7 linked regions of the Oryzias latipes genome follow. The protein of the gene in region 2 purifies or fractionates together with the protein of the main gene of each other region. This does not show direct contact. Links are inferred from orthologs where the notes say so. Each region holds a gene or a part of one and is shown on either strand. Other genes may lie near its edges.

Region 1 (4,477 bases), on a different chromosome or scaffold from region 2:
CCATGCACAGACACACTCTTGCAGAATCACACTCACAGGAGTCCAGATGGGCCTTGTGTTATTGCTGAATAATGCATGCAATGTAGACTCTATAAAAGTTACATGGCCAGAGAGAGCGCAAGTCATCAGTCAGACGCTTTAGGCCGTTTGGTAAGGTTAGCCTTGCAGCATGGCTTGTGCAAATTTGGAGTTGCACATGGAATTTCCAGTTTGCAAGTATCTGACTTCAGGTGACCCCTCAAGGGAAAATATTTAGCTGAGGTTGGGATAGAAAAACAATTTTCCTTTAGACTCTGTCAGCCGATATTGTGGCTGTCTTTCCAGTCACCTTGAAAATGCTTTTGTGGTGTAAACCATTAAACTTGAGAATTAGACGGAAGATTCAAAGCCAGAGGTTCAGGTTTCAGGCCATCTCTAAAATGCACTATGAAATATATCTGGCTGTCTGCGTCTATGCAAAGCAGAATGGGAGGGGGAGGTACGGGTGGAGGGTAAATGCTGCACTCATGTGGGGAAACAGAGCAGTGCCATGTTTTTCCTCTGGAGTCTGTAACAGGACATCAGGAGCTTGTGTGTGAAGCTTTTTAAACTGTTAAGAATGCTGTCCAAACACTAAAAACTGCATAAAACATGAAGCAGATTAATAAAATGGTCCTAGATTAACATAAATGTTATTTTAAAAGTTCATTTTTTTAGGTGAGAGAGAGATCTCATTGGGCCTGTTTTCATCTCACAAATCTTTCATTTACTTATATGAAATAAAAAAATGAGTCAAATTTACATAAAAGTTATCAAAACAAAAAGCACCACACATTGACCACAAATGAACTCAAATATAACACAAAAGAGAAGCGAGATTAATAATTTAAAAAAAAAAAACAACAGCTGACATTTACAACAACCGCTATAGGGAACAAAATATCAAAAAGAGTAGTAAAATGTGGTAAAGTTTGCTTTTTACTATCACCATGAACTGAATCAGCAAAGTTTGGGCTGATCACGTGACCTAAGTTTCAGTGTAGTGATGACATCTTGGTGTGTAGGAAAATGGAACTCCAAACAATTTCTTATCCTCGTATTTCAAACCAACCCGGAAAATGGTATAAAGTTGATATAAAAGTCATATCTAAGTAAAATGTGTGTACTTGAATGTATATTCAAGGCAGCATATTGTGACAGTTACAATGAAAGACGGGACGGTGCCAAAGAAAACCTTTAAAAATGGTAAAAAAATGCTAATCATCGTTTAAAAATGTTAGATAATATTTATAATACGCTATATTTTAAAAAATGTGTTGTGTTAATATCTATGAAATAACTTTTCGCGGCATAACACGTACATTGTTGATAACTAAAAGCACGTGTATTTGAGAAAAGCGTTAATTCCGACGAGACCCAAAGGCGTCATAGGTTACGTTATTCACTTCACTGTGGGGCCTGTGAAGGAATCCAGGAGTGACCAGCGAAAAGTCCACATACCAGAAGGAAGGAGGAGTTGGTAACTCTTTTATCTCTTCCGAAGGGAGTCTGAAAGTAAGTACTGAGTATCAACAAACGTCTCACTTTAGTTCACATCAACTTAGTTGGGGTGGAAAGTTGACAGGGAAGCGGAACTAGCCTATTAGCAGGCTAGCAACACGTTAGCTAGGAGAAAAAGTTTGCTTTCCTGGATTAAGGAAAAACTACAAACCTTCCAACCATGTAAGACGAATTAATAGACCTTTTTAGACTGTCTGTTTCACTCTTATGTTTTCTTGTGTGTGAAAATGTGGAGTTTTGTGTTGTTTGAATGACTTCCCCTTGCTTCAAACTAAGGTTTGGGAGTGTTTGGTTAATATTACCCATTTAACCAAACATCATCTGTTTGTCAGGTGATCTGCTTTACCTGCTGGTTCAGCTTCTTGAGAGATAACCGTGGTCAGGTGCAAAACTACTAGCTTTTGCTTGTTAAATATGTAATACGGAAATGATTAACCATTTTGGGGTGTTTTACTTCCAGATTTGTACCATTAACTGGGTCAAAAATCGTAATAATGCCACTTCTTTCATCTGCAAATGGGTAAAATAAAGATTCATGCTTTAGAGTCTCAGTTTCGACGCTGAACCATGATGTCATTGGTTTTAAATTCAGTTTAACTCCCAATTGTGAACACAAGTCCTTGCAATTGTGGTAAAATTGAGTTATTCGTAGAAATGAGGTTTTAAATTGAAAAAAGAGGCAACATTTAGGCATTGAAATGAAGGGAAAATGGTTAAAGTGTGAACCAAGCATGACTTAAAGCAAGAGAAGACGTCACTTTGAGGCTCATGAAGATCTGGAGTAACAGGTTTGGGTTGAAAAACAAGAAACGTTTTTCTCCTGTTTTCTTCTTGGTCATTTCATTTGCTGCTGTTGCTGTGAAGAAAGTGACATGAGTGGGTTTGTCAGTGTTGCATTATTCCCCATGTGGCCTTTTCTGCAGAAATCTATGCCTGGGTTACTTCATGAACAGGAAATGAAATCAGTTTGTGGGAACATGGATTAGATCTAATGGGTTTTTTTGTGTGTGATAATATTTATGCCTCGTCATAATTACCTTAATTTGTGACCCTTTTGTGTTCCCTGAAAGCTGAATATTTATGAATATATATTTATTTGGGGAAGAATTCTAAACATCCCAACAGTTTGACCTTTGAATCTTTACCAGCAAATCATTTTTTTTTTAGCTAAAATTCTGCAGCAGGTATTAAACCCATAACTGTTATGTGTAAATTGTTGTAGCCAAATTCAGAAATCTGTTTGAAGTTTACACTAAACATGTGCCCTCTTGAATTATACCCTCTCGGGTTGGGTAAAAACAGCATAAGTCAACATTTAGGAGCAGAACGTATTGCCAAGTACACTTTCATCTTGATTTTTATTTTCTGTGGATGGCTGCAGATTTTGATGGGAAGCGAAGCGAGTTTAAAGGTTATTTGCAAAACAGGAAAACGTCAACTTTAAGGGGAAGATGGGAGGACAGGACAGAACAGGACAGGAAGACAGATTATAGGAAATCCTCCGGCCTGGTTGCTTTTTTTTTGTACCTCTCCAATGTAAAACCCATAAGGTGGGAATTATTTTTCCCTGTAATTTATTGAAATAAACCTTTTAATTTTAGTTTACAATAAACTTCTTCTCCTACTAACCATGTGTCTCTAAGGAGGCTTTTTTGAACACATTTTCTATAAACCATTGTTTAAAACCCCAAGAAAATGACACCCATGACCGCACTCGCGTGTGGAAATCATTCTAGGCTGTTCAACAGTGTTTACAACTGTGAGCTGCATCACCGTTTTCTAAAACCATCTTCTGCATTTCCTTGAGTTTAACATGTGTGTTCATATTCTAAAGCAAAGATGAAGAACAGGCAGCCTGCAGTGAGCGGGCATGATCGGCCCTTCCTGCTTCCTGTTACTTTCTCAGCGCTCGCTCTGTTTCAAAAGTTGAGATGTCTGAACACTGAACGCTTGGCCTGCATTCACAGGAACACATTTTAGTTTGTAATGACTGTAAAATGTATTATTTTTAGCCACACCAAGGTTTCAAAATGCCATTAAAAGACCCTTTATAATGTCAGACTTTTACATTTTTGGAAATGGTTTATTGTATCTTATCATGACAGTTCAACGTCTGTTGTTTCTCATATTCATGTCAGTTTTCTGGATCCTTCATTGTTGCATTCATTAACATTGTTGCTAAGATCTCCACATTTTATCAGGGGGAATTGTGGTTTTGTTTCTAACACTCCTTAGAAGACAAACAAAAGCCATTTGTTTAGGTTTTGCATCCCGTTTTTCCATCCGTATGGGTTCAGATGACTTCTGAACAAACGAGATGACGTGTATTATCTCAAACTCTTTGTTTTTGAGTCATTTTCTCAACATTTAGTTGTGTTTTGGTGCATAGATGATAACTCTTCTATTTGTCTGAATCTTTTCAGTTTGTGTTGTTGCACAAAATCTAAAAAGGAACTGTCAACTCCTTATTTAAAAGAAAACAATAAGAATAGTAGATTTTAATATAATTACTATCCTTTAAAATACAATAGAGTATTACACTACAGCTTTTCAGATCCTGTTACCTTTTTTCTGTGATTATTTATGTGAGGAAACAAACCTAGCAGTTTAGAATCTGTTACTGTAGCGTTTATAAGCCGTTTTATATTTGTTAAATGAGGATTTGTTTTATACAGTTTGGTTTTATATTTAACTATCATCCTGTTTACATTGCCTGGATTTGGGAGCTACACGTTTTTCAACAGAAATGTTTATACTATTTTCTCTGGAGCTTTGAATTTTAAGTCATGTCATTCAAATAAATTTTCCATTAAAACGTCATTAAATTCAAATGTTTGTCCAATCCATTCACCTTGTTTTTTTTTCATCATCACCCATAGTCCCCTGCTCAGCAGTTGAGAGTTGGTCCTCTTTGTCTGCTTTATGGTAATCGATGGGA
Region 2 (3,954 bases):
TTTAATCTGGATGCAGCGGAGCTGTCAAAGAGGAAGGCCTTCATCACCAGCACCAGACATATGGTCAGGGTAAGCCTCCGCCACACCTCAGATGTGAACTCGCTTTGGGAGGAACCCCAAACGTCTGCAGCACGGTGGTCTGGTTCCCTTCGGTTTGGTCAGTCTGGTAGTTCATTGAAATAGTTGAAGACCAATGGCTCCTCCAAGTACAGCCCTCAAAGATTTTAAAAGTAGAACTCATCACATCTGGAGAGAATGGTGGCCTGACGCTGGGCAGCATAACAGACCCCTAAACTAAAAAGATGATCTTTACTGTTCAGCTGTTTGCACACATAATGAATGATTATCCTTTAGAAAGCATCCCCTCCACAGGAACACATTTGGTCTGGAAAGGTTTGGTTTGTTTTTTAATAGCAGCAAAGACATCAGTGGGATAATGTCACGTGTCACGATTCCCTAACAAGGAATACTTATTCTAAACAAAACAACATGTTACAGCTGTCTGAATGGTGGGCCTGACAGAGTAAAGAGGGAGTTTTGTTGAGTCCATCTAAAAACAAAAAACAATACAGAAAGGAAGGCCTTCATAAAATCAACTTCAGTGATTTTACAAAAAATAAAGCACAAAAGATCTTTCAGACAAGACGGTAAATATATATTTTTAACGTCTTATTTTAACACTATATTTAACTGAAAGCTGATTTAGTTCTGGGGAACTGCAGCTTTTTCAGGAGTGCTTCAGATTTACGAGGGGGGGGGGGGGTGCTATAGCACAGTTTACATCAGAAATCTAACCATACATGCCCCATTAGTTATTTTCTTAACACGGATCAGTTGTCTTGGACTCCTCCCCCCTGGCGCTCCAAACAGGAAGTACCCGCTGGTTTCAGGAAGTCCCATAGAGCCTATAGAGAACTAAACAGCTGTTATTCAGTCATCCTATTGGCCAGAAGAACCATTCTGGATCTGATACCTTTTTTAACATCTTCTTGATAATCCAAATTTAGTATTTTGTATTTAAACTTATTCAAGTTACAAACGGACCAATCAGATGCCTCAATAAAAGTAGGAGGAGCCTGCTGGCCCCCAGGTTGAACGTTTGACAGATTTTCTGTAGCTCACGTTTAAGTGTTTGGTGTGAGTGGTTACCATAGAAACGATGACTCAGACCAATCACTGCATACTGTTCCAACATGGTGGCGTTTGTGTTGGGGAAAAAACGTCAACAGAAGGAAGTAACCCATTTTCTGTAGATGACGACACACTTCTCACTCCTGTTCTCCTAAACAGTCAATAGTTTTGAGGGTTTTTAAACTTCAAACAAAAACTTTCATCACTTTGAATCCAAGCTTTACTATAAGATATTCTTAAGTGACATGAGAGGACAAAGAGAACTTCTTATTTCTGATCAAAATTTAAAAACCTGTTTACACAGAGTGCCATATAATTATATCCAACTTTTTTTTCATAAAATACATTTTTTTAGTTCTGGTTCATCGCTGTTGTTATAAGAGTGAGACGCCATGACCAAGTTTTCTGTAATGAACCATAAATCCATGTATGTGACGTCTTCACTTCGTGACATAGTCTGCCGTTTCTTTTCTAGGAGATGAAGGAGCAGATGTCGTCTCCAGGAACGGCTTCCTTGGACGGGAAGAGCAAACAGGTACCAAGTCTCTCTCCTGGTTAGACAAATGCTACCTTTGACAGAGGATGACATCATGAAACTTTGTCCTAAACTCCAGTACAGCGCTCCCTCGTTTATAGCGCGAGTTACAATCCCCTGCTATAGTTGTCATCCACAAAGTGGGGGATCTATTTTTTACAATAAGCACAGATGCTTGAAGGCAGTAAAACTCCTCACTACAGACTTTATCCCTGATATCTCTCCCCTGTTTTGTCTCTCATAGTTGAAGTTTACATTTGAAGGCAATTACAGGCCTCTGAACCCACACATTTAATGGCTGATTGAACACTTCTGTTGCTCCACTGTATGCTTTTCTTTTGTGTTCAGGCTTTGCTCGGTGAGCGTGGAGCTCAAGGACGCATATGGCAGCCCGGTTCAGACAAATACCGCCGTCTTGACCATCAGCTGCAGAGCGCCAACAGTCAGTTCATTGAGGAGGCACAGGTGCAGCAGCAGGTACAGACGGACCGAGAACAGATGGGGGCATGGAGGTGATGCTGAGCCCAGACCAAACGCTGGTGTGTGTGTTTCAGCTGATCGCAGAGCAGCAGGACGAACAGCTGGAACTGGTGTCTGGGTCCATCAACGTTCTCAAGAACATGTCTGAAAGAATCGGCGTGGAGCTGGACGAACAGGCTGAGTAAGAACCACAAGCTGACCCTTTAAACACATTAATGCCAAATATGACATCACCCATTTGCCAACGTCAACACCTGATAATGGCTGACCGTTTATGAATCTGCTGTGTTGTGATGGTGAAATTGTGGATTAATTATAAAAAAATAAATGTAAATACTTTTTTTAATTAAAAATAACAAGTCGTTCAAATGCAATGCATTGAAGTCTTCCAGATTTTGGAATAGTAGATTTGCCCAGCACTACAGAAAGTGCACTGTGTAGAGAGCAGTGAAGGAGTTCAGTCACAGTCTAGGGGTCTTGATCAGTGCTGCTCACTCCTGGTCGTCCTACCACCCCGTCTAGAAAACCCAGTTTTCTACATCTCTAATCCCTGCTTGGTTAACTCAGTCAGGTGCTTCCACATTCTGATTGAATAAACACACCTGGTTCAGGTAAAAGGTAGCATGATTCGGTTCATTTAGAAATGAAGGACTCAATGTGTTGCTGAGAGCTTCAAGACTTACCAGATAACAGCTGTAACAGAAGCTCACTTCAACAGCATATAAACAGGTCAACTTCGGTACTATATGTGTATTACACAGCAGATGTTAGAAGGAGCCACAAAGTTAAATTGTTGCCACAATCAAATAAGGGAAAAATAATTACAATTTTGCCCCTCTCACGATGCCGTTGTGGAAAAAGGGCTCATCAAAATCTGGTTTTGGTCCTTCTTTGCCAAATTCTAGTTGTTAAGCTATAAAGACAGGAACTGTTAAATAACAAATTTCTTGTTTTATGGTAATTGCACATCATGTTCTTATTGTGAAAGGGCCGGTTGGATGGGATGGGTCGTTGTTGTGTTGATGATGGTGGAATGAATAAAGAAAACGTTACGCTGCGAAGTGAATTTCAATTTTGTTTAACATTGGTAGCAGGGGATGATTAGCAACTACAGAGTCCTACAAACCTTTGACGAAGGAAAACCGTACAAAAGTTGGAAAAAATAAGTTGGACCCGAGTTACAGACCTTGAAAAGAAGAAGCAAGCACTCTCCGTTCCTTTGGCGCTTTCTTCTGGGCAAGCGAGAGACGTGGCGATAGAAATATCAAAGGAGGATTTGCTCAAGGACACAGGACACGTCACTAATAAAGCTAGATGATCGGTTTCTCAAAGAACAAAGACCGGACCTACTCAAGTTTGGATAACGAGAGACAGTAATGTATCCGTGACGGATTAGATAATTGATTTTGAACAGCGGTATACTCAAATGTGTACATACAAGAGGGATCTTCCGGATGCAGTATGAGCATTTTGTTATGTGTGAATAGATTTAGTGTCTCTTGGATGCTGTGCTTGCTGAGTACAGCAAGACTCATCTCTGTCAGCAAAAGAAAAAGATCTGCTCACGCCCAAGATTGGACAAATTCTCTGGGTTGCAAGGCAGAGTCGACCAAAAGTCTTGTTTGATGCTTTAAATCCATGAAACGAATAGAACGGTGTGCAAACTGAAATCCAGTGAGGTGGCTCTGAACTTTGAGCTTCTAGGCAGGGACTCAGCCCTCAAGATGAGGGTGTTCAGTGATGCCTCATTTGGCAATCTTTCAGATGGAGCCACTCAAGAAGGAAACCTGATAGTTCTAATGGGAGAA
Region 3 (4,596 bases), on a different chromosome or scaffold from region 2:
GTAATAATAATAATACATTTTATTTAAAAGCGCATTTCTAGGCTCTCAAGGTCACTTCACAATAAAAAATGATAAAACACAATAAAGGAAAAAAGATCAAATCTATTCTTTCAAGACAGAAGGTACTATTGATGTGGGTTTTTTTTAATTGGAGAGTTTTGAGTTGGGATTTAAAGGGGGATATAGAGTCCAGGTTTACCAAAGCTTAATGTAATCTTTGGTTAGTAAACAAATTTACAAAAGTAAGACTTGCTGATTCTCCTCATCCGCCCATCGTGTAAACCTGTCTCATCTCTTTTGAGGTCACATGGTCAACGGAGCCTTTCCAGTGACTGTCAGTCAACCGATGGGCGGGTCGCCAGTCCATTGCAGCGCCAAACAAAGATACATTTACACAAACACTCCCAATCACATCTTGGGACAATTTAGAGGCATATTATAGGATGCAATACCAGGAGAGTACCAGGAAAAACAAAACAAGCTAAATTAAGGAAACTCTGCATAGAAAAAACCTGGCCAGGATTCGAACTCAGGCCTTCTCACTTTGATAGCAGACTTTTTAGCCCTCTTAAGCCAGTGATGATAACAAGTCAAGAGATCAAGTCAAATTTGTAATCTACAAACCAACTGGATAACAATTTTATCCCACATTAAAAGTCAATAAAACAATCAAGAAAGTGCTGTCTGCAAATCTGACTGAGATGTTAATTCTTCCATATTTGGTTTGTGTTCTTTCATAGTCCAAAGGCACCATTGTGTCATGGTGTCCCTGAAATGCAGTGGGACAAAGGATCCCTCTTTAGGGATGACACCCTGAAAAAGACTCAAGGCTAAAACCCTGTGACCCAACATGAAGTGTTGTAGAAATAAAAAATAACAATAAAGGAAACAAACGTTTATAAAAGGGATTGAAAAACAGACCAAGAATATATATTTAAAAAAAGTACGAATAAAGAAATAAAAAAATAGTTTTTCCCTTACTACATGTCAAATAAATTTAAAAAAAATTGTTGCAAACTGACTCCACTCTGTCACTGATGCACGAACTAAACATGTCCAAAGTAAACCATTTTCTAACCGTCAGAGAAAGTTTTAGAAATTTACAAAAGTTTTGGGGGACATTTCTGTTGTTTTTTTAGATGCAGAACAACATTTTACTTTGCAGTTCTACATAAGGGGGTTTTCTGTTGGGTACATATTTTTAAATCAGAATTTTAAGTTGACCCATTAAAAACCCCAATATTATCTCAAGAAGCTGTGTAAAATGTTTTTTTTCCCATCACGTTAAAAGCAAGACGCAAATGGTAAAGATATGAAAATTGTGAAACTGCTGTTTTGCAAGTAACACTATTGCACAATCCAAGACCCGACATTTAGGAAATACATAGTAAAAGTAGGAGTTATTTGTTACTTAGCATTTTAGATTTTTTATTTTTTAAGGGTCTTTTCATTTAGTCATGTTAATTATTTAATTTTGGTAAATGAAGGTGTGCAACAAACAAAAACATAAAGTTTTTCATCCCGTAAGAACAGATTGTAATTGGTATGTTTCTTAAAATATTACTCAAGGTTGGGGGAAATAGTATTAAGTGACACAGAAAAGTCTTATTTACAAAGAGTTCCTGAATGCAGCAGGAGTTTCCGTTCTCCCGTGTCACGTGACAGGGGAACTGCTGGTCTGTAACTGGTGATGTGACGACGCAGCTAGCAGCAGTTAGCAAGTTTGTTGACTTTTACATTTAGGTATTTGTCCACAGATTTAAGGGACAAGGCACGAAAATGGACAACAGTGGGAAAGAAAAGGAAGCGGAAGCTTTGATGGCGGAGGCGGACAAAAAAATAAAATCGTCGAAGTCGTTTTTTGGGACGCTGTTTGGGTAAGTTTGTCAGAAAGCTAGCGTAAGTGTTAGCTAGCTTTTCTAGTCTAGGGGCCAACAATGCGGAAGGTGTCTGACTAAGCAGTTATCACTCCGTTTGTATAGCGGAACTAAAGAATACCTTTAACTCTGAGTGGTGAATCTTTCATTTAATTTTAGTTTTGGGTTTAAATGATGCTGTTGTGTCTGTGATGTTGTTACGCCACCATTCCCGGGTTTTCTGCCTCGAATGTTTGTAAACAGCATTATTGTCATTCACAGCAATTGCCTATACCCGCTCTGTTAATGACTATACTTAAAGATTGTTGTGTTTATGTATTAACTTTAAATTAAACGGAAATATTGTTTTTGTCTCAAGTTCAAAGTGTACTTGTGCCGATGCTGCAGCACCACCTTCCGGAATAAAGGTGTACTGCAGATCACATGTCAGTCATTGGTTTACAGCCGCACATTTGTGTTTTCTATAAGATTTAAGGTGGTATTTACACTTAGTCTGCAGAGATATATTGCATATTTATGCAACACGGTTTTAACTTCCAATTTGTCTTTTTTTAAATGCGCGTGTATGTTATCTCACAGGGGTTCCTCCAGGTCGGAAGAGGCCTGCGAAATCTATGTGAGAGCAGCCAACATGTACAAAATGGCTAAAAACTGGTCTGGTAAGTGTGTAACAAGCCCCCCTTCTCCCCGCTGTTATCTGTAAACACCTTAATCTTGCAACATTTCTTTCCAGCTGCAGGAAATGCTTTCGCGCAGGCTGCTCATCTTCACCTGCAGATGCAGAGTAAACACGATGCAGCAACTAACCTCATAGACGCTGGAAATGCCTTCAAAAAAGCAGACCCCCAAGGTAATGTTCTTCATTTCTGTGGGTTTATATATTTATTTTTTAACTCTCAAAACCTGTTCTGTTGTTGTGAGAAATTACACTGCTTTATAAAGAGCTTGCTTCATTTATTTTTTTAAAATAATTTTTTCAAGAACAAAAAGGTTTTCATTCATCAAATGTGTTGCAAATCAAATAAATATCCACATAAATGTATGTGGACACGCATTGCCTTTTAGGGATGCAACTGTTCGTTTTCTTCCCTATTTGATTCAAACCTCCATTTTTGGGTCACGGTTTTGTTTTGGTTCGATATTTGGTGTGTGCATTGCAAAAACAACTACAAAAAACATAGAGAAACATTTTTTTTAAGTTTGCTAATAAGAAATGAAAGAAAAAGCCTTGATTTAGCTTATTCTAAGCCTGGTGAAATGTTATAAAACAATGTCAATAAATTAAAAATAGCAGATCACATGTGTTTGACACTTTCACTATAAATATATGCAAATATATGCTGCGGGGATGCAATATTTCATTTTAAATTGTGTAATATACAGTCTGGTTTTAATTGGATATATTGGGCATCCCCCATTTAAGAGCAGATCAGATGAAACGGGTGTTTTTAATGTTTTTTAACATGTTATTCTGACATTCTTCTGATCATGGAGGACTTTAATGAAGCAAATGTGCCATGAGAGATGGTCATGTGTACTGTGGAAAATTAATTTTTACTGATATGTAAATCTCCATGATATTAGATCTGTGTTCATCCGAACAGGCCCTGATAAAACACTGAGTAGTTAGGAATATGAAAGATCATAAATATCTGTAGCCAAAACCAAAACAGTTGTAGGGATATTACTGGAAAATGATTGGTTCCTCTGGGTTTTTTTTAATGCACAACTACCTCCATTTCCACTGTCTCCTCCTTTCCTGCATCAACCTGATATAATTTGTCTGACGGGCTTAGAGGAATACTGTGGGAATCTTATTTAGCAATAACAGGTACCTGTTGTTGCTGGGGGGGGGGCTAAAACTCCCATGGAGGATGGAGGAGTTGAGCTGCAGGCAGATGTGAGTTGTAGGGCCTATATATCATGCTATTGTTACGCCTTTCAGAGTAAACTTTATCCATATATGTGATCATATATTACCTTTGGCACACTAAAGAATTATTTTTTTGATGAAATATGATGTATTTTCACGGCTCTTTTTCCTACTGGAAGTAAGAATTAAGGAATTCATATTTTTTATTAATTTCCTTCTATATTCTTTCCCATGAAATTTAACGTTCGGTGTGTGAAGTCCTGACTTTACAATTGTTAGGAGTTTGATGGCTAACTAACCATCTGGTTCAGTCAGTAGTTCTTTATTTTGCTGGTGACATGATTGGACTTGTTGTCATGCTACAGGTCAACTCACACATTCCACCTTCATCATCGCTCCAGGAAAAGAATGTAAACGTTTCCATCAGCGTTGCAGATGCATCCTTTCACGTTTGGTGTCGTTTACATGCTATGCCCATTTACATCCTTATCCTCCAGTCCTGTAGCCACTGACTTTTAACTCTCATAATGTGCCACCCTTTTGTGTTCTTATTGGATCTGTGACTCTGTCTTTTGTTTTGTCCTGTTTTATGTTTCCTGCCTAGGGACTATGGATGCAAATTAGCATCATTGCTATAATCCAGCATGTTTACGCCTATCATTGTTTGATAGATGTTCATTAATGTGCACTGTCCCTATTAAATAAATAAAAATAGACATCTATTTTTCGTCTACACATTAACTAGATCAACCTCAGGTCCTTGGGTTGCTGTCAAGTGTTTATCAAAAACTTGACATTTCTAGGTTTTACACCTGCAAAAAAAAAAAATATATATATAGAAATGGC
Region 4 (4,462 bases), about 2.2 Mb from region 2:
ATTTATCATGGCTACAGGAATTATCAATACGCAACGCAAAGCTCGTTTCTGCATCGTAAAATAGTTTATGCGGTGTTGAGTGATTCAGACGTAGCACTACTGAAAGCCCAGGGCCCTGTTCCAGAAAGCAGGTTATGTGAGCTACCACAGTAAGTTTGAGGCTAAGGAAGTTGATAACCTCAGCTTTCAGTTCCAAAAACAGAGGTATGTTTCAGGGTATGTCAAGTTGCCATGGCAACTCATGCTCTGAACATAACCTGGTCTGGAGCAGGTTTAGTTGAAGGTTAGTTTGTTTTCAGAGAGGTGAAGCAGCATGGCGTGTCCATTTGAAGATGATTTAGTGGATGAAGAAGCTCAGATAATACTTTTTCCACAGTGAAATGGTGATAAGACCACATATGGATGTTGGAAAGATAAACTTTTTTACTTTGATCTAACTTAATTATGTGCTTCAGTTAAGAGAAATCATTTTTAAGTCAGCTTAAAAATAACACGTAGTTATCAGTTATTTTACTTTCATTCAAATTAATTCAATTAAGTAGGTGTAACTTTGGTGCTGCTGTTAGATCGGCACCGCAAGGGATTGTGGGATACCATTCACTTTGCCTGTCTGGACGGATTTGGGTTCAAGTGTGGTTTTTTGACAAAATGTGTTTAGTTGTTTAGCTGTTTTAATGTGTTTTACCAAGTTATTTTACCCTGTTATGTTTAATTCTTTCAGCACCATGAGGGAGAGGGAGGAAGAGGATCACGAGTTTATTTAGAACCTTTACTGCCCAGTGGAGGAATATTTAAGTCAGAGAACAGACTTCATAATGTGGTTCCATTTTGTTTCATTCATTTTATTGTTATAAAAATGAGAAAATCTGCAGCCTCTTAGACATAGGAGAGTTCAAGAATTGCAATAAATTAAGATTGAAAAACATTTAATTAAACTGGAGTAATATGATATTTAGTTAGATAAATATGTAAATTTGAGTTGTAAAAAGAAATATTGAGTTGGATAGACGTAAGAAATTAGGTTGAATAAAGTAATAAGTAATTCATTTAAGTTGGATAAGTTATATATATATATGCGTCACAAGAATAATAGAAATAAGATCAGAAACTATTGCTTTTACTTTGTCCGTTATTTTTCTGCAAGCAGAAACTCTTTTTTTTCCTTTTTTCTTTTGATGATGCAGCCGTGTTACTTTTTTGATGGGTTTATAATCTTCATACGCCGTCATTAATCTCAGACTCCGTCTCACTGAATTGTAGCGCTCTCTTTTTTTCACCACGCGTTTCCATGGTGACTCCGGAAATCGGTGATCCATTGAGAATGTCTTTATGTACTTGCTGTGCACGTGCATTAACCCAGGGTTACCAAGTCGAGCGTAATTACGCTAACTCATATCCGGTCTTTTGGAACCAACATACCCAGAGTAAGCAAGTTCAGGCGGATTTCAGCCAGAGTTCAGGATTAAAGTCAGGGTAGTTTTAATATGCTCCCTGGAATACCCCCCTGGTTATCCATGTCTGGGCGTCCTATTTTTATTTGGTGCACAGGTCGAGACGCCAAGATGGCAGCACGCACTCTGTCTGTCTGTTAGCGTCCTGTGAATGAATGAGTTTATTTTTATTTTTTCTTAACGACTTTTAAGCTATTTTAGATTATAATTTATAGTTGTTTCTGGCCTTTCTGAGAATGGTATTTTGTTTATCAATTACCGTGCTTGTTTTTAGAAAGGCTAGCTCCGAAACTCTGTGAGTCAAAGCCTACTCGATTCATTAAGACCCAAAACCAGGGTTGGTTCACTGATATTCGAAGGAACGCTCCATTTTTTATTTTTATTTTTTTTATTTTTATTTTTTATTTTTTCGACGATCATGAACTGTATGCGGTCATCATGAAGATTATCACCGGGTGATCGTCGCTGGATTCCTGGCGTGACTAACCTTGACGGGCCTTATACTTCATCAATTAAGGGAAGTCCCAATTTACCTTCTATCGAAGCTGGCGCACTATTGTATATATTTTTGCCAAAGTTGAGATGCTGATGCCGTCCTGCCTTCCTAGCACCTGTGTGATATGCCCTATCCGAAGCAGATCCAGGAGCGCTTGGCTGGTTGATGAGCTTGCTATCTTTGTGTGAAGGAAAGTGCTTGATTCAACCCTCGGATCGTGTGATCTATACCCATTTAAAGTTGAACTAAGCTTGGGCAGTAATTTCGCTCTTTTTGCCCGCAGCTTTCAAGCTCCGTGTTCCTTGCTGTTTGTGTGGCACGTCACGGGAGGACGTCTGACAAAAAACAAAACAAAACAAAAAAAAAAAAAAAAAAAAAAAAAACGGCTCTCGGTGTATCCCGAACTGGATTCTGGCAGATATCTGGACTGAAGGCTGCCATGGCCAAAGTTTTAAATACCTTCCTTCAAAGCCCCCGGCAAATAATATCAAGGGCTGAAATATTCTTCCTGCTAACATTGGCCTTATATTCCATCGGAGACTTTGGCATTGCCGTAGCTCTTCGGGAGTCAGATGACTCCCGTCCAGTGAATCCAGTGTGTTGTGTATTTCATGCTGGAACAAAAACTTTTATTCATGAATGTCATAATGCATACGCATCTGTGTGTCTCTCAGACAATCCAAATGAACTGCTGCACCTCAGCTGTGTAATGGTTCTTCAGAAGAATTTTACTATAAACTCTACTATAGCATTCTTAAAAACGTTCCCATCTCTAGGACCTTCAAATGCAGTATGTAAGAAACCACAACTTCAAAGACGCCTCATCTTCTTATTGTTGTTAATCTCCGGGAATATTCCACCAAACCCTGGACCAGATAGTCCTACTTTTAGTACTCCTGAAGACTTCAAATCTCGTAATGGTCTTGGATTCATTCATCTCAATGTAAGGAGTTTATTGCCTAAAATGGATATGATACGCATTTGGGCAATTTCAACTGAAGCAGATGTAATTGTTGTTTCTGAAACATGGTTAAACAAATCAATAACTGACTTTGACATACATATCAATGGTTATAATGTTTTTAGGGCTGATCGTCCCAAAAGGGGGGGAGGTATAGCCATCTATATCAAAACTAAACTTAATGCAAAAGTTCTTCTGCAAACATCAATGGCAAAGAAATTTGAACTTTTAGCTCTTGATCTGGAGATCTCTAATTCTCTGCATATTACCCTAGTTGGTTGCTATAGAGCGCCCTCTGCTGATGGCTCTGCTCTTCCCTCTTTAATGGAACTGCTGTCTTCCTTAAAATACAATGAAGTTGTAATAATTGGAGATTTAAACTGGAACTGGTTGCAAGCTGTTTCTGATGATTTTAAATCTTACTGTGATTCCCTGAACCTCTTTCAATTAGTAAATGATCCTACTCGACCTAACCCCAAATTTCCGGAGAAATCCTCGCTAATTGATTTGATTCTTACAAATTCTCCTTCAAAGTATTCAACTGCTGCTGTATTTGCAAATGATATAAGTGATCACTGTATCATTGCTACATCGAGAAACACAAAAATGCCCAAAACCAAACCACACATTATCATAAAACGCAATGTCAAGCAATTTTGTGAACAATCCTTTTGTCAAGAACTATATGAATTTGACTGGCACACGATGATGGAAATTGATAATGTTGAAAGGGCCTGGAGTTATTTCCATAATGAATTTACAAAAATCCTTGATAGACATGCTCCTATCAGGCACTATAAAGTGAAAGGTCGTAATAATCCGTGGTTTAGCTCAGATTTGGCTAACCAACTACATGAAAGGAATGTAGCATGGGCAAAAGCTAGACATTCTGATAATGCATCTGACTGGCTGGCATTCAGAAAACTACGCAATGCTTGCACTACTGCAATTCGAAATGTGAAATCTGACCATTTTTTGAAAAATACTACAGAAAATTTAAATAATCCCTCAAAGTTTTGGAAGATAGTTAAGTCCCTAAATGAAAATAATTCAGGTATTGAGCTCCCTTCAAGTATAATGAAAAACACTTGTAATATAACAGACAAGACAGAGATGCTTTTATGTTTTAATGAGCATTTTGTTTCCTCTGGATCATTATTTAATTCTATAAAACATTCAGCTGAGTACTCCCTCCCTGTGAATCACGAAGATTTAATACATAATTTCTCATTTTCCCTCTTCACAACTTCAGAAGTCTCAGAAGCCCTTAAACTCCTTGATCCTACTAAATCTGCTGGTCCTGATGATCTGGAACCATATTTTATAAAAGCGGCAGCAGACTCTATCGCACTTCCACTGACCTATTTATTTAATTTGTCTTTGTCCACAAACACCATTCCGCATGCTTGGAAGTCCGCTTATGTGTTACCTCTACTTAAAGGTGGTGACCCAACAAATTTGAATAACTATAGACCAATTTCCAAGTTACCCATTTTGGCAAAAGTTTTGGAAGGTCTTATAAGCGTACAATTAAAAGAATTTCTCATTTCAAAT
Region 5 (4,031 bases), on a different chromosome or scaffold from region 2:
CTCTGCTGCAGTGGGCTGGGGCAGTTGGCTTTGTAAATCAATGAAACATATAGGTCATATTCATATAGAACACAGTAAGGACATGAATGTTTGTCAGATTATTTTTTATTATTAATATAAGGTCAGTTTTTTTTTTAAATTAGAAATTGATTACTAGTGTTTTGTCTCCATCTTATTCTAACCTAACTTGTAAACACGTTGTGACTCTGCCATCGTAATACGAATGTTTTGCTTTTCCTGTTGTATCATCAGGTTAGAAAGTTAGAATCAAACAAACAAAAATCTTTTTTTCGTTCAAAATCTTTTGTAGTTGACAATTCAAATACATTTTTTCTTGCATAACATCCAAAGTAAAAGCACATCAAACTGTTCTTTTTTGCTTTTTATTTGTTGTCTGTTCTTCATAGGTGGTGGATATCATGCGTGTTAATGTGGACAAAGTGCTGGAACGTGATCAGAAACTGTCGGAACTGGATGACCGAGCAGATGCACTGCAAGCTGGAGCTTCCCAGTTTGAGACCAGTGCTGCTAAGCTAAAGAGGAAATACTGGTGGAAGAACTGCAAGGTAACTCTCAGTTTTGCCCCAAACTGTACTTCACAGATTCAACAAACCACCAGTTGTTGATTTTTTTTTTTTTTTTTTTTTTTTTTATCGAAGCAGCAATAATAATACAGATTAACCGAATTTGTTTGACAAATGATCTGTTTGCCTAAATGTGTTTAATTTTTGTGGCGCTCGATTCTCTGCCTGCAGATGTGGGCCATCCTGATAGCTGTCATAGTCATCATCATCGTCATCATCATTAGTGAGTATCAAGACATCGGGAAAAAAAAAGTCAGAATTGTTAGTATTTTTATGTCAGCTGATTTAAAGAATCTGTCAAATCAGCATATTTTTAGGTTGTACTCGATCCTTTTTTACAACTTAACAACTATGTTTGAATACAAAAAATAATTTGTACTGACTTTTTGTGACAATCTTTCTTTTACAAGCCATAATATTCAATGTTTTAAATATTTATAATTCTTTGTTGCTCTAAATGGCTATAATTTTAGAAGGACATGCCCAGTAAATGCATTGTCTTAACTTTTCTATCCTTTTCTTTGTAGTTTGGTCTAGCACGTAAAACAGCCAGCGGATGAGACGTGGAGGCCATGATGAAGAGCAGAGAAATGGGGCAGTGTGTGAACATCATGCCACATAAATCACAAAGAATATCTCACATTGGTGGCTGCTGACCTCCACACGAATTATCTGCAGGGGTCTTCATTCCTTGTCCTGCTTTGTTTTGAATTTATGTACGTGTATTAAGGTTGTGCCAGAGTTGAGGTTTGCCAAAGTTCCACACCTTTAAAAGAATGCACCATGGATGACATCAGAACATTTTAAAATAAAAAAAAAACTATACCACATTCCAAAACAAACTGCCAGAAAAGTTACAAAAAATTTGTTAAGAAGTAAAACTCTTCTAAAGTCTATAAGAAATAAAAACCCTTACTCTATGGCAAGCATGCACACACATAGATTTGAACTTCAAGACTGGTATGAAGGTTATTGTTGTAAATTTAACTCGGTATATATTTACATTTTCACATTTTATTAATAGCATTGTATAACATTTGGAAGGCTAAAAAAGTAACATGCCTACAAAGATGTTCTGGTAGGGTTTAGAGCTAATTTTCTTACCAGTTTAAAGACGTTTAACGGCAGGGCTTCCCTTTTATTTTCTAGATATCGCCATCTTTGGCAATGGTTACAGTTCAGAAGTGAATAGCTAAATCTAATGCGTCGCTTCATTTTTCCACACAGTTCATTTCTTTGTAAGAAAATTCTTTTAAAAAAGAAATTTAACCTTAAATCTTCTTCAATAGGATGCTAACTAACCTTGTGGTCACTCCTGTCTTTCTTCAGCTTATTTTGGACACCACTCCCTTTGCTGTGCAGCTGGTTTGAACTTGTTTTTTAACGAGTGCCTGCATGCCGAGACCAAACAGCCCGACTCGGGCAGCCTCAAAATAACAACAGTCCACATAACGTATTATCCATTTTCTAGATTGTATCCAACACTTTTTTGTGTGTGAAATATCGAGGCATAACAGTATTAGAATGTAGCTTTTAAAATAATATTCTTTTTCTCAATGAAGAAGAACTGCCAAAAATACAGCCATATTCCAACTGCTGCCATTTAAAAAACAACAGTGCCTTTCTAAATGTGCTTAAGCCTTGCATTCATTAACTCAAGTGAACCTGGTTTTTGGAAAAAATATTTGTAATATTACATTTTGTTATTAAATTGCTTTCATTTTTCAATAACTCAATGAATATGACACCTATTTTATTTCTTGGTGGGGACTTTGATGTTGCTACTAATATGTATTTTCTTTATATATAAATATTATCTTTACCAAGGACATTATAAATTAAATAAAAAATGAAACCTGCATAAAAAGTTCATAACGAATGTACTAAATTCAAAGTTACTGAGGTGTAGCAAAAGTAAATTAAAAGTAAAAATATAAAGGCAAACCCAGACTTAAACCATGAACCTGGACTTGCACGATGCAGCTCAGTTCAGGGCGACTCGGTGCTGTAATGCTTTTTTAGAGGACGGTCTGTAAGACAAATAGACCAACTGGGCAGGTGGGCTTACAAATATTGGAAACGCCTCATTGGCACTGCACTTATGAGAAGCCTTCGGTTCAGCGTTCATACAGACTTAATGGGCAACTATACATTTTTCAAAGATTTGTAACACTGTCTCGTGTTGATGGTGCGTTGAGAACAACAAGAACATCCATATTTTAAAATACTAAAAAAAAAAAGGTTTTCAAGGTCTGATTTAACTCAGACCAGTCTGAAAGTCTTCCCAACAGAGATAATTACTGATACCGTGCCTTTTTGACATTCTACCCCTGTTCAGGTATTCATTCTTACACCAACACTGGATTTGTGGTTTTGTTCATTTTGAAATGTTAATGTTTTGATGCATATTTTTAGAGCATCTAGTTTTTTCATCTTCAGTTTGATTTGCTCTTTCTTTTTCCTTGTTTCTATCAAATATAGATAAACTGCTGCCTTAAATAAAACCTTTAGACCAATGAAATGCTTATTTCATTTCATTTCTTATATGCCTTTTTTTAACCACTTACATGCTTTCCTATTTTTAATCTGCTGTTTCCCTCTTACAATTAATTTACATTTAACTCATGAGCTTCGCCAATGTATACTCTACTGGGAATATGTTTGGAAAAAAAGTGCAATTTTCTTCTGTGGCCTAAATTATCCGTTTGAATAAAAACTAATAAAGTCATTTCTAAATTATTTTCATGTTATTTCTCTTTGGGAGATGGAAATTCTTAATCTTTTCTAATATATATATATTTTTCCCTCCTTTTTTGTTTGGAGTCTAACAATAAAGAAATGTCTCCTCACTTCCAGAAGATGGCTAAAGTTTGATTTTGGTCCCTGCAGAGAAGATAACTCTTACAAACTCATTTTTTTTTAGTTATGAAATGCAACACAACTTAATTTAAATCTTTTTCTGTGTGCAATGTCAGGAATCTTCCATTTTATTTTGTTTTTTATATTTAAATCTTTTAATCGATCGATCCTTTATTAGAGTCAAAGCAGCGGCTCCGTTCATAATTATGCATTTGCAGGGGCGTGGATGTAGACTCATAGGGGTTGGTGCCTGCGCAGTTGACATGTTTTCACCCTGTTGTGTAACATGGGGATCCACGTGAACCGCCAACAACTATGGGGATAAGCACGCCCACTACAACTGTCTCCATCCAATCAGGCGCCAGATGTAAGTTTGGCCTGCCCAATTAGCGTAGACTGGGCGGAGTTAACGCGATGCCAAACTCACGTTGCACGAATGTGTCAAGCGATTCGGAATGGATGACGTTTTCTCTGGGGAAACTTAAAAGCATTTAATGTTTTGATTCTATCCGGGACGTCGTTTTGTGGAATTGTTGTATTTTGAAGCTCAGATCGAATTGGACCGAAAAAGGTAAATATATTAACCCC
Region 6 (4,726 bases), on a different chromosome or scaffold from region 2:
CCAAAGGAGATCAGGCAGACAACAGAAATAATTTGAGGTTGACTGTGCAGCGGCTGAGAAACTGTGCTCCATTCATAGCACGGGTGTAGATGGGTTACAAGAGGAGGCTATGGTTAAGGTATTGGTCACCAAAAACCGTTGCATCTCAAAACTGCAGACAATGCAGAAAAATATACACCCTTTTGACACAAAACACACAAGACATAAGGTGCAACAGGTGGGTAGGTTGATGATTAAATGTGACGTTCCTGAGAGAAAAGCAAATCAACTTAGAAACAAAGTGTAAAAACTACACAAGCAAGAGTACAAATACAGAATAAATGTGGTTTAAATTTAACTGGAAATTTAATATGTCTGGTTAAGCCAATACTCAGGTAAGACTACCGGTAAGTAAGACGACTGAAATGTTTCTTGGTTACTTACTTGGTTGCAATCTTTGATACTCAAAAAAAAGGAAAGTGTAACAACAAAATTATGGTGATAAAATAGCATCTATCTGCCTTATTCAACCTATAAACTATTTAAACAAGAAACGACAATAAATTCCATTTCAACTTACTTAGATGAATTATTTCCATTTATAAAAAGTGTTATTTAATTTTAAGAACATAGTGACTTCAAGTAAACATTAATAAAATCGCGAATTTTTAAATTAAATACCAACATATGTTAAAACCGTAACAAATTGGTTCAAAGTGGAATCAATCAGTGATGTATAATCATGATGTATTTTCCAAGTGATGATCCATTAGAATGATCAAACTCGACGTTTTTTTCCCCTCGTCTCCTTTGCTCCATCTTCCAGTGTCAACAGGTTGTCCTTTCGCCTTGTCAACACAATCAACTTTTTCCAGTCTTTAAACCTGTTTGACTGCAGTGCTGTGAAAGCCCCGCTCCGCCTGACGCGGTACCGGGCGCCTCACCGGGACCCGGTGCCCTCGGTTTCCCTCCTTCTCCACTCACACAAACCCCGCAGTCACGCCGCCACGCAATCGATTCCCAACAGATCCGTCAAAAACAATCAGCCTGCCTGTCATATTTGGGACCAAAACAAGACACCGCCTCCTGTGCGGAAGCGAAGCAACACCCTCACCACCAACTGACTGTCGCTACCAACTTGGCCAAATAACGCTAATTTACACCCGGGTTCCTTCGTTTGTACCTTTTCGAGCGGTGCTGGACGCTGGGCGGCGAGAGATCGAGCCAGAGACAGAACTGTGTTAAAATAAAAGCTTCTCGTTCCACCTCCTATCACAGACATGATCGCCCCTACATGAAGGCAGAGCAATGAATACAATCAGGAGAGGATTCGAGGCGGGGGGGGCGTTGCAACTGGGAGCTGGGAGAGCCGCAGTACGGCGGCCGGGAGAAGACATACTTCCCAAAAGCGTATTTTACTTTTAAAAAAGGATTTTATTTATAAATTATTCTGGGTGAAATGGAGTAAAAAACATAATTGTGTAATAGCAATTATTTATTCAATTTTTTTTATGAATAAAAACACTTTATGTTTTAGTTTGCGAATTGGTTGCGGACGATTGACCGTTGGACGCGGTGACGTCATCTGACGTAACAGGAAGAGGAGTCGCTCTCTTCTGTCAGCTGATATTAACACAAAATCATCGAAGGTTTGTCGAGTTGGTTTTCTTTACAGTTTTGCGGTGTCGTTATAACTGTAGTGTGTCGTGTGAGAATGACCATCAACTCTGTTTTGTTGCTGCTTTTATTGTATTTTTTTTAATTTGTTGACTTATTTATGATCTTTCTAGAAAAGCTAGGTCTGTGTGAGTGATAGCAGCCTGACAACACCCTCGAGTTTTATATCAAAAATCATTCATTTCGTTCTTTTTTACGTTCTTCGGCCGTTAAGTAAATGAAAAAAACATGATAATATTCTTTTAAAATATCATCCGTATGTTTTTTGTTCATAAAACTTGCAACATGAGGACCAGTTAGCCTTTAATAATATTTCTTCGAAAAGTTTGTTACGCAATACTGTCTGACTGTCTGAATTGCTAACCAATCAATTGGTTGATCGATCCCCCCCCCCATATTCTGAAATGACAAATGTTTTTGTTTCATTTTTGTGCCCCCCCCCCCACCACTTTTTATTGTTGTGAAAGCTTTATTTTTTTTATCAATAATTTTTAGCAGTTTGCTGATTATATTGTCTTTCTTGTTGTTATTGTTTTTGTTTACGTTTGTTTCAGTAGAGTAGGGTTTAAACTTAGCTTTTTAAATGTAAAACATTTTGTTTTTTATGTCTTAGTGACCAATTTCAAACGTTTTCTGCTATGGAACAGCGTCCTGGATGAATAAGAGTTATCATAGATGTGCTCAAAAAGTTTAAATACGCCTAAAGCTTTTTTTTTCTCACAGAAAAACAGCTGTTTACTCTAGTGAAATACCTTGTGTCTAAATATAACAAATTACTTAAAGAAAACTCAAATAAAAGGAAACATTAGTCATTAAACTATTTACTCGAGTAAATAGTTGAATGACTAGTAGGGTAAAACAATTAGTGAAAAATTCTGCTTGAGTACTTAGCACCGGATTAATTATTACTTTAACTATTCATGGAAATTACCGTAGTAAAGCAAAGGGTAAACTGAAGAGCAAATACTACTATTTCCAGATTCTAAAATAAATTGTTAAACTAACCAAATGGAAGAACAATATGTCTTTGGTGAATCTTTTTGGCAACAATGAGATTTATTGATAGCTTCCTGTCTTTCCAGTGAGATATTAATTAGCAAGGTCTACTTGCTTTGGATTGACAAGTTTTATGACACTGGAAAATCTGATATTGTCAAAAATCATAAATTGGGCATACCAAATTCAATAATTATATCAGTTATCCTTCTTAGAATTGATAAAATTATGTCTCTACTTAGTTAATAAACAAAGTCCAATTATGAGTATTAATTGGACTTTTAAATATGTTATATTTAATGTGCTTTACACATAGTATTCTGTCTGTAATATTTCAAAATATTGATAGAGGATCCCCTGATGTGTTATGGCCATAAAGTCAAAAACCAAGCCTTATTATGTTTATAATGGTGGATTTTTTTTTTTTTTTTGCAGTTCTCTGCCGTTGTAAAAACCAAGTCATTGTGCTTTTTTAACTAGAACAAACAAAACAATTAAGAAACTCACTGCAGCTGAGTAAGAGTGTTATGAAACTCATCTTTTACAGTTAGTTCCTTATGTAAATGTAACTTGTTACCACTCATCTCCTATTTTTGATGCCGTGAAATGAGAGGCGCAGCTGAGATTAATTTATTTTTCTTTTTTTATTTTCTGAACTGACTTTTCTTTACAGATGGCCTACCCTAAATCCCACAATCCATTTGCAGATGATGACGATGAGGAAGATTTTAAGCCTAAAAGCAGGGGTTTTGATGATGACCCCGATGATGGGTTGACTGAAGCACAGAGGCGGCAGAGGTACCTGCAGCAGGAAGTGATGCGTACAGCTCAATCTGCTGTGGACAGCAGTCACCGCTCTCTTGGCCTGATCTATGAATCAGAGAAGATGGGTGTGGAAACTGCAGAAGTGTGTAAATCTAATCATATAAAATCAGATTTATTCAAATGCAGACATCATTTCTGAATGTTTCTGAGAGAGCGGCAGTTTGAGAAACCTGGTTCATCTTCCTTCATAGGAGCTGGTACGTCAGGGTGAGGTTCTAAAGAGGACCGACAAGATGTTGGACAACATGGATCAGGACCTCAAGACCAGCCAAAAACATATCAACAGCATCAAGAGTGTATGGGGAGGACTTGTCAATTATTTTAAGAGCAAACCAGAGACAAAGCCGCCAGCTGAGGAGCCAACGACCTACCAGGCCAATGAAAGGTACGCTTTACTTATTTCTTCTTTAGATTAGAAGTGCTTGTTGACTGTCATCATTTTACAGTTAACATTAATTGAAATCCAGAATCTTTTTAAATATTCTTACCTTACTTATTTAACATTGGTTTCAGCTTCTTATAAACACAACTTTCCTTTTCAGAGAATCCAACATGTCATTTACGTGTTTGGTGATTATTTTTACTCACTTCTAACACCTTTCAGGCTCAATCTTGTCCTACATTTACAGGAATAATATTCAAAACCCCCAAGACAAGAGAGTGATCTCTGTCTCAAATTTTAGTCTGTTTTTAAAAGTCTTAAATCAGTTTTGGGGGGAAAAGATTGACAATTCTGAAAAAAAATGCTTACAAAAAAAGCTTTATATTTCGAATAAAAAAATATTGTTTTGTAAAGTTAACTAATTAAAAATACATTTAATTTTTTTTCAATTTCTTAATTTTTTAAAGAAACTTTTGAATAAAAAAAAAGTTATCTGAAAGGCAGCCCACTTTTTTTAGAATGTTTTATTCACACTGATAGTTTCACATTGAAACAGTTTCACATTGACACCTGGGAGCTGCAAAGTGAAACTACTGTTGCTCCTGGGAGCTCTGAGTAGGAGTTAAGAGCCTTGCTCAAGGGCATTTTATTTTGTACACTGTGTTACCAAGACTACATTTGATTAAACCGAATCTGCTTTTGGAAAACTTACCATATTTGTTCATTACACCAGAATGCACAAAACATTTTCAAAAGCCAGAGTGGACTTGTTTTATTTTTACTCTGTACATCTTGTCTGTTCTTTAAGGAAGGTGCTTTCACTTCTTCCTACACACGTCCTTAAATATCAGCACAGCTACAGACGAA
Region 7 (4,578 bases), on a different chromosome or scaffold from region 2:
ATCCTGCAGTATTGTAGGAATTGGGTATCTTTTGGGTTTTCCTGTTCAGGAATGCAAATAATAGGTAAGGTGCCTGATGTACCTTTAGTGGATTCGAATGGTTTCATTGTTTTTAGTATCAATATACTGTGAACTCAAACAGTCATCAGTGAAAAGAAGCAAAACTCTTACTGGTTTCCAGCCAAGAGGAATATATCCAGGCCCAACAAACATGGCGTTGAAGTAGTTGTAAAGGATAAGAACAGTCCAGTTTAAGAGCATGAGGAAGTTAATGCTGCCTGCAGTGGTGTCTAGAGGCCAGTACCAGATGACTGAGTCTATGATTGCCATGGTTGAACATATAGCAATGACAGAGAGGGCTATGATTGGGCCCCAGTGGCACAATCTTCGAACCTCATGGAGGTTCTCGAATCGAACTAACGCTGAAAGGAAATTCATATTCGTCCCACTGGAAGCTTAAGAAAATGTTCTTTTTTTTTTTTTTTTGTTGGGGACCTGAAATGTTTGGACTCTGCCTGAGTGTGCTACTTGTTTCTTATATCTTGCAAAGTCAGCAGTGCACACATTTTTATTTTCATCTTTCAAGAATCCAACTACATCCCTGGTCTGTGGTCACCCGGCCTTTCCGTGTCCCGGTGTGTCTTGCCCTTGAAGAGCGCAGCATGCTCCCCTCTCAAATCCTGAAGCACAGGAACCTTGTGAGAGTCCGTTTACCCATCTGATGGAGAGAAAGAGAGAAAAAAAGGGGACAAGCATTTATCATAGAGTGCTAAAAGAAAAGGCTATATTTCCTCTTTATATATGCAAAATAGGTGCTATTTATCTGGAAAACAGGTAGTTGTGGGTCACATATTGACTCCTATCTTTATATAGAAATCTATATATTCTAAAGAACGACATAACTATAATGAAAACACTTTTAATGGTCAAATTAATTACGTTTTATTGTTTTTTAAAAACAGAGATATTGGAAGGGTGAAGCTTTGAATGAAAGAAGAAGAAACTCCATGCACAACTAATTAGCTTGTCAAGTCAAGCTTAGCTAGCAAATTCAAAACAACATTTTAAGCTAATTCCAACAAGTTTCTCTATGTATCAGGAATTCATACATTCATACTAACATCTTGCAAAATTGTAATTAGCTTGGCTGTTTAGATAAACATGTTTCGGCTTAAGAGTAGATGCATGCAGCAGGTAGCGAAGAAGTGAGGTTGGTTAGTTAGCTAGCTCGTTCACCATCTTCCACTACCAGCACTGACAGGAAAACCATTTCAAACTCGAAAAAAGAAAGATGAATCAAACATGACACACGAACGTAAAGCTACGTAGAAATAAACACATTGAATAGTGTTTCAGTAAATAAGCTGTCACTTTAAATTAGTTTAACCTTACCACTTGCACTTCGGATTTTTGTTTTCCTCCCCTATGTGCCCTGAGAACCTTCCTAGTTGCGTCTCGGATTGAAAATCCGTCAACTACAAACAGTCAGATCAAATTTAAAACAAAATGAAAAAATATATGTTTTGTTAAATAACACAACAAAGAGATAGGCGTGATAGTTTTCCGAAACCCTCTCTCAGTAGTAGCGCCAACAGAACACCCAGTTCCTAGCCGGACACCTTTTAGTGTGACTCAAGGAAGAAGCTTGTTATTATTTTGAGCTAACTGTCAGCCCTAGAGCTACTTTGCTACCTAAACGTACTGGTCAAAATGTCTTCAGACTTTGAATCCTACGAGCAGGACTTTGGAACGACTACAGCCGAGTTAACAAATAAAATCGGCAGAATTCCCAAACTAAGTGGAGGTAAGACTTTTACCATTTTAGCGTCAATTAATGATGAGCTGGCAGGCTAGCTAGTAGTAGCAAGAAAGCCTCAGTTCTAGTAGAAGGTGTAGCTTTAATTGTTAACTCTAACTTGTTTGAAATCGTTATAAATATATTATGTTGATACATTTACACGTTTATATTCGCCGTGTGACTCAGTTACTGTGCTCTTTCTGTAGGAACAAAAACAAGTGACCGACTACCTGTGGTTATAATAAATTAATGGTAGAGGCCAGTGTCAAATAGAAACATTATGTCAAATTTATATTATAGATTTTAAGATTATAATTTAAAACCAAAGTTGTTCTTTAGCTTTAAGCAACTGGTTTTAAAGTATTAAAATATTTAAGAAAAATACTTCTAGATTCTACAGATGGCAAGAAACTCCTAACCCATCATAGCTGCTGCCTGTTTTCTGTCAACTTACATAATAGTATTAGAACTGTGATAATCTCTATTCTCTTTTACTATTCTAACATCTTAAACACTTTTAAAATTTAACATCATCAATAATTGTGTACTTAAGCTTCATTTAATTGACTAGAAACATATGTACTTTCCTATTTAAAGTACTCAGTTTAATTTATATCCCAGGGTATTTACTCCACTAATTTGAGAATGGGTTTCAACACTACTAAAAATGTCACTAACATAACAAGAGAGCATATGTGTTCAAATGAAAACAAAAGATCCAAAGTGGAACGTGCATTTTAATAATATTTAGTGGTCTACTACCATCAAATAGTCACCATTTTAGACTTTTACATCCAATGTTTGAAAGCACTTCTATCAATTCTTCTTAAGCCTCTATTTCTTATTTATGCATTTAGTTTTTCTTTCCCAACTATTGCTTAACTTCTGTTAACTTACTGTAGTAAATGAAAACCTTTTCACGATAATTTTGAGGATTTAACTGCAAACCAATACCCTTAGCAAATCAAGTTGTTGTGATATGTCATAAGGTTTTTAATCCCAGTGGGATATGATGCAAAAAGACAATGATTATATTGTACACATGCCTCAGTTAGTTCACATAAAACAATCAAACCATATAGTGTTGGAAGTCTGAACCTAATCATATTATTTACTTAAAAAATATGAACTGCACTGTCATGGTAAGCAATAAAAGAGACACTGTACATATTTATCTCACTTTAAACACTTCTTTGTCACATATGTCCCTGCATATCCATGAAGATGAAGACATTTCTACAGCATATTTTAAATTAGTTGCACATCTTTATTATGTCAAAGCACGAGGAGGACATGTGTTGGTCACAATTTGTGTTTCACAGTAAGACCATATTGTATTTGTCACTTTATTTATGGCACTTTGCTTTGTTTGTATAAGAAAGCATTACTACGGCAGTTATATGGATCACCTCACTGAAACACTTATATTGCAGCCTATACGGAATAATATGCAGTTCATATTGTAACTGTCACAAAATAGTGTGAGCAGATTTCAGATAAGTAGCATATAGTATATTATAAGAATGATTAAGTATGAATGAAGAGTGAATGAATAATGGACAAATTGTTAGCGCTTTGAGCACCAAGAAAAAGCACAGATAAATCTAATGAATTATTATTATTATTATAAAAGACATGAATGAATACAAATTTAAGTCTTTAATTGTAAAAAATCTAACAGAACTAAAAAAAAAACTTAAAAAAATTCACCTGAACATGTGAAACAATGTACTGCTGGTTAAATGCGTAATAGCAATAGACCGGTCAGTTTATTTATATGGCGTCTTACTATGACCGTATAAAACAAGGAGCTATTCATTGAAACTCAACACATTAAAACAACAGTTTAAATGATAACACAATTTAAAAGTTAAATAGTAAAATATTTATAATATTGGAAAATAAAAACACAGTCAAAATAAAACACACCAACAGAGCAGCGTCTAATGGGCAAAAGCCTGGCAATAAAAGTTTTCAGAAGCTTTTTATAAATAGACTGTGAGGACGCTTAGCGAGGCATTCCTCACCTTTGGTGCACAGACTGAAAAAGCCCATTCCTCCTTTAACTTTCTCTTGAACTTTTGTACTCTAATCAGAACCCAGTCAGCTGCCATGAGGCACTGACTGGCATGAAGGGAGAGACAGGCTCAAAGAGGCACGGTTAATTAAAAAAAATTAAATGAAACGGAAGAATCTTAAAGTTAACGTCCAAAATGCACTGGCAGCCAGTGAAGGAAAGCTCCAATTGGGGCGACGTGGTCCCTCTTTAGTGTTCTGGACCACTTAAAGAAGCGGAAGGGACAAGAGGCTGACTCTGAAAGTTACAGTAATCCATTTTAGTTTCTGATGAAAGCATGGATTACTGTCTGAAAGTGTAGTCTTGATAAACAGCGTCACCTTCACCAGCTACCTTAAAGAAAAGAAGCTATACAAAGCGAATTTAGCTATCACGTTTAAAATCACTGTCCGTTTCTGACCTAGATTTGTCCCAGACTTTTAAATGTGAATCAGGAGAATCAGATCTACTGTGGAGGGGTCACACGACTCACTTTAAACTGTCTAAAACAAACTAGGACATAGTTAATTATTTGTTTTTCTAGAAAATCCTATAATTGATAATGACACAGATGTTCTGGTTTGGATGTGATATCTTTGAAGAGTCATGCGTATTTTGAAGAGTATTTGTATGCCTGCCGGGAACTCACTACTGGAGGTTTGGCATTGCCAGAAGCAACCTTTTGCCGGTCACCCACCACAAAAACATATGCTGCCTTTCTACA

The links.
Region 1: the proteins of syntaxin-6 (region 2) and snap23 purify together in Homo sapiens (affinity purification with mass spectrometry; 3 studies listed by BioGRID and IntAct, with this or other methods). This does not show direct contact. The link is inferred for Oryzias latipes from reciprocal best matches to the Homo sapiens genes STX6 and SNAP23.
Region 3: the proteins of syntaxin-6 (region 2) and napa purify together in Homo sapiens (affinity purification with mass spectrometry; 3 studies listed by BioGRID and IntAct, counting the BioPlex papers as one, with this or other methods). This does not show direct contact. The link is inferred for Oryzias latipes from reciprocal best matches to the Homo sapiens genes STX6 and NAPA.
Region 4: the proteins of syntaxin-6 (region 2) and vamp4 purify together in Homo sapiens (co-immunoprecipitation; 5 studies listed by BioGRID and IntAct, counting the BioPlex papers as one, with this or other methods). This does not show direct contact. The link is inferred for Oryzias latipes from reciprocal best matches to the Homo sapiens genes STX6 and VAMP4.
Region 5: the proteins of syntaxin-6 (region 2) and vamp3 purify together in Homo sapiens (affinity purification with mass spectrometry; 5 studies listed by BioGRID and IntAct, counting the BioPlex papers as one, with this or other methods). This does not show direct contact. The link is inferred for Oryzias latipes from reciprocal best matches to the Homo sapiens genes STX6 and VAMP3.
Region 6: the proteins of syntaxin-6 (region 2) and snap29 purify together in Homo sapiens (co-immunoprecipitation; 3 studies listed by BioGRID and IntAct, counting the BioPlex papers as one, with this or other methods). This does not show direct contact. The link is inferred for Oryzias latipes from reciprocal best matches to the Homo sapiens genes STX6 and SNAP29.
Region 7: the proteins of syntaxin-6 (region 2) and vti1a purify together in Homo sapiens (affinity purification with mass spectrometry; 3 studies listed by BioGRID and IntAct, counting the BioPlex papers as one, with this or other methods). This does not show direct contact. The link is inferred for Oryzias latipes from reciprocal best matches to the Homo sapiens genes STX6 and VTI1A.

Annotation. Positions count from the first base shown.
Region 1 is NC_019880.2:4,947,175-4,951,651, reverse strand, and holds the start of snap23 (synaptosomal-associated protein 23), read left to right. Parts: upstream 1-1,570; 5' UTR 1,571-1,699; coding exon 1,700-1,701; intron 1,702-4,477. UniProt on the Homo sapiens protein: Essential component of the high affinity receptor for the general membrane fusion machinery and an important regulator of transport vesicle docking and fusion.
Region 2 is NC_019862.2:1,649,682-1,653,635, forward strand, and holds part of syntaxin-6, read left to right. Parts: coding exon 1-69; intron 70-1,606; coding exon 1,607-1,666; intron 1,667-2,014; coding exon 2,015-2,143; intron 2,144-2,220; coding exon 2,221-2,327; intron 2,328-2,333; exon of another isoform or gene 2,334-3,954. UniProt on the Homo sapiens protein: SNARE promoting movement of transport vesicles to target membranes. Targets endosomes to the trans-Golgi network, and may therefore function in retrograde trafficking.
Region 3 is NC_019871.2:5,028,460-5,033,055, reverse strand, and holds the start of napa (alpha-soluble NSF attachment protein), read left to right. Parts: upstream 1-1,638; 5' UTR 1,639-1,779; coding exon 1,780-1,877; intron 1,878-2,456; coding exon 2,457-2,536; intron 2,537-2,610; coding exon 2,611-2,727; intron 2,728-4,596. UniProt on the Homo sapiens protein: Required for vesicular transport between the endoplasmic reticulum and the Golgi apparatus. Together with GNA12 promotes CDH5 localization to plasma membrane.
Region 4 is NC_019862.2:3,865,057-3,869,518, forward strand, and holds the start of vamp4 (vesicle-associated membrane protein 4), read left to right. Parts: upstream 1-1,425; 5' UTR 1,426-4,462. UniProt on the Homo sapiens protein: Involved in the pathway that functions to remove an inhibitor (probably synaptotagmin-4) of calcium-triggered exocytosis during the maturation of secretory granules.
Region 5 is NC_019863.2:28,602,633-28,606,663, forward strand, and holds the end of vamp3 (vesicle-associated membrane protein 3), read left to right. Parts: intron 1-407; coding exon 408-566; intron 567-755; coding exon 756-807; intron 808-1,111; coding exon 1,112-1,128; 3' UTR 1,129-3,323; downstream 3,324-4,031. UniProt on the Homo sapiens protein: SNARE involved in vesicular transport from the late endosomes to the trans-Golgi network.
Region 6 is NC_019867.2:6,078,813-6,083,538, forward strand, and holds the start of snap29 (synaptosomal-associated protein 29), read left to right. Parts: upstream 1-1,503; 5' UTR 1,504-1,628; intron 1,629-3,325; coding exon 3,326-3,559; intron 3,560-3,668; coding exon 3,669-3,862; intron 3,863-4,726. Other genes in the region: phosphatidylinositol 4-kinase alpha, read right to left, coding at 1,163-1,261. UniProt on the Homo sapiens protein: SNAREs, soluble N-ethylmaleimide-sensitive factor-attachment protein receptors, are essential proteins for fusion of cellular membranes.
Region 7 is NC_019877.2:9,985,461-9,990,038, reverse strand, and holds the start of vti1a (vesicle transport through interaction with t-SNAREs homolog 1A), read left to right. Parts: upstream 1-1,606; 5' UTR 1,607-1,710; coding exon 1,711-1,804; intron 1,805-4,578. Other genes in the region: palmitoyltransferase ZDHHC6, read right to left, coding at 1-41, 172-438. UniProt on the Homo sapiens protein: V-SNARE that mediates vesicle transport pathways through interactions with t-SNAREs on the target membrane. These interactions are proposed to mediate aspects of the specificity of vesicle trafficking and to promote fusion of the lipid bilayers.